Linked DNA regions of Solanum lycopersicum. The protein of the gene in region 2 binds, or shares a complex with, the protein of the main gene of each other region. Links are inferred from orthologs where the notes say so. Each region holds a gene or a part of one and is shown on either strand. Other genes may lie near its edges.

Region 1 (3,950 bases), on a different chromosome or scaffold from region 2:
GTGCAAAGAAGTAAAGTATGTCCTTACCTTGATTAGTTGCATGAACTCACTACAATGGTTGTTAATAAGCTCCTTCCTGGGGCCGCTCGGATTTGCCATTTCATCCATTACACCTCCTGCTAGCTCCAGAACTCTGACTATCCTCTGCAAGCATCAGAGGAAGATACAGCAACAGAAGGTATGAGAGTAATGTTTCAGTTACAATTTTTTCTATCAAGAAAAGTGATTACTGACTCCGCATTGAAAGTTATGATCGTGATTTACTCATCAAATTACGATTAGTTGCCTTTGCACTTGACATGCTATATCATCTCCACGTTTTTAATCTGAAGAAACCAATGACTAGGAAACAACAGAGATGCTGTTTCCGTTAGACCAGAGAAAACTCGTGTCAGTAGATATTCAGGGCATATGACAGGACGATCTCGAATACGATTTGATTTCCAACTGTTGAAGATCAGCCTGGAGTTTGTGGAAGATACTCAATGAGCCAGACAGGAAGAAAGCAACCAACAGAAGCAGAAGTTTGAAAAGCCCTTTCAGATCCTATTCTCGGTCCACAGCGTCTTTGATTTATTCATCATTGTCGTCATCTCAACACTATTCCCATCTTCATTCTCTGACTTCGAATTATATTATTTTGGCTGATTTGAGGATGGGTTGAGTTGGGTTGGGTCAGCCCATTTTGACAGTTAGGTGGGTGACATGAAATTCTTAGTCATGGTTATCTAGCCAAGCGGCTCTTGTTCTCATTCATTTCATTTGTCCGGTTGTCCCAGAAATTGAAGGATCCGGAACTCCAGAAGGCTTAGGAGAGCTCAATGGTGGAGTCCCTTACCGAGGCATAACACCATCCATATATCTTCAAGCTTGTCTATGTGTTTCACCCAATCAACGAAATATGGATTTCACCTAAATTCAAAAAGTACTCTCCTCGCTCTCTTTCTTTCTTGAAACATTTTGGTATACAGGATAGGGGAACAAGTAACAAGGACTCGGGCAAGGAAGGAATAATATTGTAGTATCAATTCTGAAATCAGAACATTAAGTATTTTGATGACAAAGAATAGCAGCTACTGAAATCAACCCATCTTAAGTCAATAATCCTGTAGAAACATTTACCTTCTCAACATTTTGCAGCCGCTGCAATGAAGTATTCTGGCTTTGCGAATCCATGTATTCTGAGGGAAGCTGTCAGGACAGGAGAAAAAGATTACTGAATTGCAATGCCGTAGAGCGATCTAGATGTGGAGAAATAAACAGAATCTATAAAACCTGATTATGTGCAGTTTTCAGAGATTTTGGTTCTGAGATCTTTGCAGTCAAATAATTAAACAATCAGAAACCTAAATCCTCTGTAATCAATCCGAAAACAGAAGAAAAACTTACATCTAATAAGTATTATGTCCATTAAACTTACCACCCTACTACACTCTTTCAAGGTACGGGTTTGGCCGAAATCAACAACTTTTCTCTGAACTCTATATTTGTCTTAAGAAATCTATTTAATATGTATAAATTATTAATTTATAAGAGATTATTTTATCCTGCGTGTAGTTGGCAAGATGCAGGATAACAATCTCATGCGATATGTTCTAAAATGTTGAGATTGGCTATTCCATATAGAAGTTGGATAGCTGATCCCACGAGAGAAATCCTTGTCTATTCCATCCCCCATACCGAACGATCAAGGACTAGAACACTGAACCCGTAAACTTCAAATCCTAGCTCCGCCTTTACCCCCAAGACCTGCTGATTATCAAACGAGCAATCCTAACATTTCACCGTCTTCCTCTAGCATTTCTGCAAAGGGGCTATTTCCTTCGACACTCAAACCCATTGCCAGACTTGATTAATCACCCCTTACTGTTCAAATGGAATCATTTCGTTTTTTGCAATTTTCTAATTGTTCAATAGTCTTATAAATTTGAATTCAATTTTTCAAATTCTATCTCGGAGTAGCCATTCACTCAACTCCGAATGAGCTCTTTCGAATCGTTCAATAGCCCTGAACCTGAGATCTGCAGTTTATTAAACAAGCAACCAGTGATAGTCTTATGTTTCTTCGCTGTTCCAAATTTGTCCTACACTCTCAAAACCTCACTAATTTCATATTCCACTTACTTCATTAACTCTTTGTCATCTTCTCTCTTCTCCATTTTTTGGAGGAATTCATCACTCATATCTCTGACTGCAGCGGCTCAACCCTAAAGCCAGCCACTAAAGCAAGCAGTGGATTTAGGACCCAAAAAAATAAGGTCCTCAAATTACAAATCCCTGAAGCTCCGAAAGAACCAAAAAGCCCCAAATTCAGCTCAAATGCACAACGATATTTCATATCATGCATGAGTGAAACAAAGCTCAGATACAAATACAAATACATATAAGACGCACAGGCACGAAATATTTTTCTTATTATTAAAAAAGGAGCCAGCGAGATGTCTGATATCGGCATCTACAAGTGAGAAGTCAATCATACCTTACCTTCAACGGCGGCTATGAGTGGCAGAAGAACGGCAGTCACCGGTGGTCGGAGATAGTCTCAGCTCCGAGTTGTTGCCTGTAATTTTTATTTTTTATTTTTATCATACAAGCATGTAATTGAATAAACATATTGCTTAAATTAACGCATATTTTTTTTAAAAAAAAACATTTTTTCAATTTTTTATTTGTTTAATATGTTATAAAGGTTTTAAAAAAGATATAGCAAACAAAAAATTCAACATAGTGTGAAATTAGGTCTTAGGCGTAACTCACACCCCAAAAGCTAGCTCAAAAGGAAACTCACACCTCAAAAGCTAGCTCAAAGGGTGGAGGATTGCTCAAGCCTTATAAGGAGTTCACTCATCTCATTAATCACCGATGTGGGACTTTTTGTCATTCTTTAACACATAGAAACTATATAATTCTCTATACATATACAGTTGAAGCAAATTGTATAAAATGAAGTGTATAAAACAAAAAATAGAAAGACACTTGGGCAGAGAACTGTATAAAAACGAAGCGTATAAAGCAAATTGCATTATTATAAGTGTATAGAACGATTATATAAAATTTGAATTTGTATAAAATGAGAAAGAGAAAGACAAAAAAGACTTGACAAGGAATATACAATTGAATAGAATTGTATAAAACGAGAAAGAGAGAAATTAGATACAATTTGAGAATTGTATAAAACGAGAAAGAGAGAAAGACAAAAGAAATTGGGCAGGGTGGTATTTTTATTGTATAATTATAATTGTATAGGACGAAAATATATGTACTTGCATGTGTATATACAATTTTCTCATGCTTTATACAAACAGAAACGCAATTTATACATTTCGCTTTTGTTTGTATAAGTGAGAAAGGCGAGGGTGGCGAGCGAGATTTGGGAGAGTGGCGAGCGAGACCTGGAAGAGGGGAGAGAGAGGAACAAAAATATATGTATTTATACAATTTTCTCTGCTTTATACAATTAGAAACAATTTTTATACACTTGTGTTTGTGTAAAAAGTGAGGAAGCGAGTGAGAGATTGGAGGAGAGTGGCGAACGAGATTTTTGGGATAGAGGCGCCTGACAATTTTTTTGCAAACGTTTACTATGAAGCATAATTAAATCAAACCCTACCTACTCTATTTATTTTAGGTTATTAGTTTGCTATATACAATTTTCCCTTTAAAAATACATTTGCTGATTAAATGAATATATACTAATCTAAAAACTATTTATTTTCAAAAACGTTTTCTTAAAACAAGTTTTTTAAAAAAACTTTTTAGCAAATTCATTTGAAAAGTGTTTTTATAAGCAATATGTGTTTGACTAATTTTTTTAAAAAGTGTTTTTATAAGCAATTTGTGTTTGAATAATTTTTTTAAAAAGTGTTTTTGAAAGTCAAATTACGAAAAAAAACAAATATCGATGTGCTTTTAATATTAAAATTATTTTATAGAGAGAAACTATTTTAAAC
Region 2 (5,968 bases):
GTTCCAATTTCGGATGTTCCAGAGTTCTTATCCAAATCCAACCAATACAAAATCTTCAGCCCAGGAGTACGCAAACTAGCAGAGTCAGACTCCCCGTCTTGTGATGTTTGTGTGGAGCCAGCACTGCCAGCCTGTCCAGTACTGACATCAGTTATGAGCTCAAAACGAATAGCATCTTTCCACCTTCCTTGACGAAGTGTTTGCACTTGCCTTATGACTGTGTCCATAACAAGTGCCACACAAAGCTCATGCAAGATAGAGTATAAGGTCATAAATGGATGGTCTGCAGCAGCCATTCTTCGTTCTAAATCATCACCAAGAGCATGCCGCCGAAAGTCATCCAGCTTCATAGGACCACTTCTCTCACCAACAAGCAGCTCCATATGTAATATCCTCCACATTGACAAGTGTCCTCTGTAACCGAGGGTAACTAGAACTTTAAATTCTCCTTCCACACGAAGCAGAACAGTACCATCAGAAACTTTGACTTCAGTAATGTCCTTAGGAAGCGAAACTTCAAGGAGTTTCGACCTAACCAGTGTGTCTAATTTCTTTAATGCTGGTTTTTGCTGGTCATCATTTAATGTGCTCTGCAAGCCTACATCTTCTATACATTTTGGCAAACGATCATAACTTCCGGTAAGAAGAACTTCAACAGCTGAAGGAACATCATAGATGGGAGCACGGGCTTGTTGTAGTCCTTCATGCATAAAAAACAACGAGTCGGCAGCTTGGGTGAAACATGTATCATGACTAGATAAAGTGGATGCAAGCTGCTGACTGTATTGTATCAACGGGACCTGCAAACCAGATAATTGTGTTGGTACTTTAAATACGGAGTTTGAACTGCAGTTTCTACGAGATCAATGATAAAGAATATAGGGCCAACCGTTGATTCTAAGGGTCCAGGAAGATTTGACAACCATATTTCTACTCACCTAGATACTGAATATAATACAAGTGTATCTTTCCTTCCAGAAAAAGACAGATGAAGAAATGAAGACATGAAAGGGAGAAGAAAGACATGAAGACAAACCTTGTACATAGCATTACCAACATATACCTCGAAAGAGTTTATTAAATCAAAGATTAAAGGTTCAAATGATGCTACAGAAAGTTGTTTGAAGCAAGATCTACAGGAAACTCATAGCTCTTTTGGTGTGACAGCAGTTCCATTGTTCCCACCCCACCCTATTTCTTTTACACATACTCTTTCTCCCAAGATTAGAAATGGGATAAGTCCTACTGTTCCTGGTTTGTCCTTCCTTTCCATGTTTTTGGCGTAATTGTTAGGTGACAAAGATCCAGTAGTTTTAGAGCGTGAAGAGTGATTGTGATTCTTTGAATTAGGTGGAGTGTGTGCTGTGTAAAATTATGTGCATATGTCCAGAAATATTGAGGTCTTTTAGTGGTGTTCATTGGCATCAATGGAGAAGAGGAGTTCACAGTGGTGGTTTTTTTTTGTCAAAACGTGACCAAAAATGGTCATCAATTTATTATAATTAAAAACATAGTGCAAAACAAGTTGGTCCAGAACAAAACAAAATAAAATAAAATAAAATAAAATAAACCCAAATTGTTAATTGCCCAAAGAGCAAAATTGTTCAGCTTTTTGTATATTGGAAACCTCTTCATCTTCTCCCTTCTTCAACGAACTGATCGCCAGATTGCTCATCTTCTCTACCATCTCATCAGAAAATGACAGTCTTCACGGTGGTTTAAGTGGTGGACAGAGGCGTTGCTGAAAAAAAAAGGTGATCGAAAGTTGTGAATGATGAAAATTTCGAGGAGAATGGAGGTCTTTAATTTTTTTGGGAAGTGGTTACCGATAAAGATGGAAAGTTATGGTGGTATATCAGATGTAAGAAATGGAAAGAGGTGGTCAAGGGATAGAGACGGTGAGGGAGAAATGGAGTGAATAAGGAAAAAAATTGAAAACTTCAAAATAAAGTTAAAAATAAATGACATGTCATTAAAAATCTGAAGGGTCAAAGGGGTTTAGAAGATTGTGTTTCATTGAGTCTAAAAGTTCAGTCGACAAAGTCGTGAATAGAAGGGCTTTGTTGGAGGTCTCAAGTTCGAAACACCTTGCATGTGAAAGCAAGGGGGTTTGCCTTCTGAGTCGCCTGGTGCGGGTTACCTCTCCTATGTGGTTTGCGAGCTATTGCATAGGAGTGGGGTTTTACCCTATGTGCACCCAAAAGGCAGCGGCTCCAGGTTTCCCTTGTCATAAAAAAAAAGGCGAGAATAGAAGGGTCTAATCGACAATCCGATTCAAATACAAGGGTCTCTTGGATCATTCCGCCTTTCATCAAATAAGCTGTTGGTACAACTTGAACAGAGCATCGTACAATCTTAAAACCTTTGAAGTTGTCCTCAACTTTTGTTTTCTTTTGGCAATTGTCCTCGACATTCACTATAACTAGAACTTCCACCCTAACTATCTGATTTTAAGTTTTAAATTACTCCTCGTGGTCCATCTTTTCCCAATTCCTAAAACAACATCCACCCTACTCATTTCACGGCTACCTTTCTAATCTTAATCAAGATCCATTTTTCTCCATTCCAACTCACAAATTTCACAAAAACAAATACATGACCAATATACATTCTGTCACTACTCTCTCAATGCATCAATAAAGAAAGAGAAAATCCTCTCCTTTTCCTCTTTCCAATTCACAAATCCTGAAACAAAAGAAACCCTAGAAGTCGAAAACTACTCTTCGCACCCCTCAACAAAGAAGAAAGAAGGCACACTTCTTATAACCCTTAAAGAACTCAAACATAGAATCCCCATCTGCCTAAGCCTGGAAAGAAAATTTTCCCCGTACCTATGCCGGTGGGAGGTAACGGGTACCTTTGGATTAATAAAGGGGGTCACAAATTGGGAAAAACACATCATTATATCTAAAAAATTAAAAAAAGATAGTGTTCAATCTTGAATGCATCAACATACATAATGAGAGAGGGAGTGAATAGATTAAAAAAAAAAGAAAACAACCTGCTGGCACCATTTGGATAGGACATTGAGACGAAGCATACGCTGCTGAGTCTTAACTACATATTTAAGAATCCCAATTTTCTTCTCAGAATCAGATAAGTTAGACGACTTGCACTTCTCCACCAATTCCTTCAACGTAACATACGACTCCTCAGCTGCTCTGCTTACCAGTGCCGAGAAATCCACCGTCTGCTGCCCTAATTCCGCCATCTCCGCAAAACCCTCCGATTAAATTACTCCGACGATCCCGAATTCCTACTAATACAATGCCATTTAATGAAAATTGACCGCCCAAACAATCAATTACTATTAGGGTTTGTAAAAATTGTGGAATTTGAAACAAAATATGAATCTCCGACCTGTAGAGAGAGTGAATGAAGCGAGTGTTGTTCTATTTTTTTTTTCCCTTTTTGATAGATCGGATGTCTGAAGGTAACGCGTAACGGCGGAAGGGAGAGGGTGTGCAAAATTGGAATATGGTACTACTAGTCGGAGAGAAGTCAAAACTAATATAAAACCTCTAAAGTTCTATTTGACCAAGTTTATAAAAATTCATCTCCTTAAATCATGTTGATTTAGAAAAAAATATAATATTTAGAAAGTTTCCATATAAAAATATTTATTAAGTGTGCGAAAAAATATTTTTATTGCGTTTTTTGATATACCTTTCAAAGTATGTGAAGCCTAAATATTGTTTGAGCTTATCTGTTGAGCGGTAAGAACTTATCTATTATTTTATTTTTTCTTTAAAACGGTGTTTAACAATCATTCATTTATTATTCATCTGTGACCTGAATTATTCTTCATGAAACTTAAATTTCTTGATTTACGCGTCTAATAAATCATTGCGAATTTACTTCTGGTATACTTGTTTAAAAAATTATCACGTAATAGTGAAATCTAATTATTATAGTCATAGTATTCGCCCACTTGTTTGTCCAGGTCCAGAGATGAACATGTCCTCGTAGTCCCTTATTACTCCGCCCCAGTTTCAGAATTCTCTTTCAAGAAATTACACATTTCTTGATTTTCTTAAAGTGATGATGGCTTCGTCTATTTGATAATTATATGCACCGTTACATTATTTATTCGTCAAAAAGTTTTAACTATTATTTTCAAATATTGTTTCACTACAAATTTTCAAGCTTTAAACTGGTTATTTTCACATTAATGAAGAAGATCAACATCTCTGAATATATGGAGTTTCATTCTCATGTTTGGAGGCATACCTTAACCTCAAAAACTATCACGTAATTAAAATTAAATAATGCATTGAGGTATAATGATGAAGGGAGATTCCGTCAATTTCATTATGAGATATATGACACTTATGCAATCAAACGCTTTAGCATAAATTCAAATTAGTTTCGTTTATAGGATCACTCTTTTCATTCTCTCATTTTTTATAGTGTGTTTTAATAGCTTGATGTCTGTATCTTAAATATCACATTTATTTTATACAACTAGATCATCATAGTCCATATATATTATTTGGACATTTTCAATAACCTAAAATTTAGGTTTGTGTATTGGACGGATCAGATGGATAGTTATGCTTAATTATTTGGCTTGTCGGATATTGATTTTTAAATAGACTGATCCACTAGCCAACTAATAAGGTAATGGTTCATTTAATGTCGGATTGGTAATTAAGGAATGGTGCATTGGCTCAATTGTTTCATGCTTTCTTTTTCACTTTCACCCACTAATATATCAATCTTCGATCAAACAAAATATTTTTTAGCTCTACTTAAGCAGATAAATGATAATTCTTTAATTATACATAATGAGAAATATTTGAAAAACTAAATTTTGAGGGTGCATTCACATAGGTATTTATTAATAACGATACTTACGGTAAAAATATAACTATAATAATTCTTAGTAAAGTAATAATTTATCCAATAAGAAAAATGGAGTAATCTACCCGGTATCGACAAACTGTTAAATTTTAATACGTTCACCAACCATTAATGTGATAATCCAATACTAATAAGTCAGTTTCGTGGTTGACTTATTAGTTTTGAATCTATTTTGAACAACCCTCTTTAATTTGATTTTTGAAAGAAAGGGTGAAACTTGAATAAGCAAAGCGAGCCTAGGGTACTCGCTCTCAATGACATTAGGCACTACCTCATTTGAGCTAGACATTTAGATGAAATAACGTAAATACACAACTATAAGTTTAGTATTCTCTAATTTTCTCTTCTTTTTTTAAACATTACATAATTTCCTTTTTAAAAAAATAATTTAGTAGAAGTTTAGAGATACATAGTCTTCTATCTCCTATAAAACACACTTCCCCAATATCATGCCTATTTTTTCTTCACTAAAACGCTCAATCTTCTGAATCACTTTTTGAATTTTGAATTATTAATTTTAATTAAAAACGTTTCACAACATTTAATATTAAATTTTGAATTTCAAAATTCCAAAAAATTGAAATTGCTGAAAATTGGACCATTGTTCACTGGTTCTTCTTCTTCTTCTTCTTACTCCATCATCCGTCTATAGTTCTTCTTCTTATTCTTAATCCATTATCTGTTCTTTTTTTCTTCTTGTTCAATGCTATATTACACCAGCTGTCTCTAGGTCTTCTTTTTCTTCTTACTTCATCATCCGTTTTTTTTCCCATTGTTTTATTACATCATATTAATGAGTACTTTTACTAATAGAAGGATTTATGATTCGGACGATGAAAATTGGAAAGAAAATAGAAAAAAGTCTTTGCATGATCCTATGAATGTTCGGAAGGATTCAAACAAAGATTTTGGTGAATCATCTACATCAAAGGTTGACAAAATACACCAAAAAAAGAGAAAAGAAGCAGCAACCATTATTGTTGAAATTAGTAAAAATTGTAGTAAAGGAATCCCATATGTATCATGAATTTTTGAAATTTGTTATCTTGTATCAGACAGTAAGTTTAATATATAAGTACTCAGTGTGTTAGTCGATGCATTGATA

What was found. The genes of interacting proteins can lie anywhere in the genome.
Region 1: mediator of RNA polymerase II transcription subunit 14 (region 2) and mediator of RNA polymerase II transcription subunit 11 share a complex: the UniProt entries of both Arabidopsis thaliana proteins name them as parts of the mediator complex. The link is inferred for Solanum lycopersicum from reciprocal best matches to the Arabidopsis thaliana genes SWP and AT3G01435.

Annotation. Positions count from the first base shown.
Region 1 is NC_090803.1:5,625,740-5,629,689, forward strand, and holds the start of mediator of RNA polymerase II transcription subunit 11, read right to left. Parts: upstream 2,801-3,950; 5' UTR 2,485-2,800; exon of another isoform or gene 2,480-2,484; intron 1,192-2,479; 5' UTR 1,177-1,191; coding exon 1,123-1,176; intron 145-1,122; coding exon 28-144; intron 1-27. UniProt on the Arabidopsis thaliana protein: Component of the Mediator complex, a coactivator involved in the regulated transcription of nearly all RNA polymerase II-dependent genes.
Region 2 is NC_090800.1:84,077,303-84,083,270, forward strand, and holds the start of mediator of RNA polymerase II transcription subunit 14, read right to left. Parts: upstream 3,536-5,968; 5' UTR 3,212-3,535; coding exon 3,002-3,211; intron 801-3,001; coding exon 1-800. UniProt on the Arabidopsis thaliana protein: Component of the Mediator complex, a coactivator involved in the regulated transcription of nearly all RNA polymerase II-dependent genes.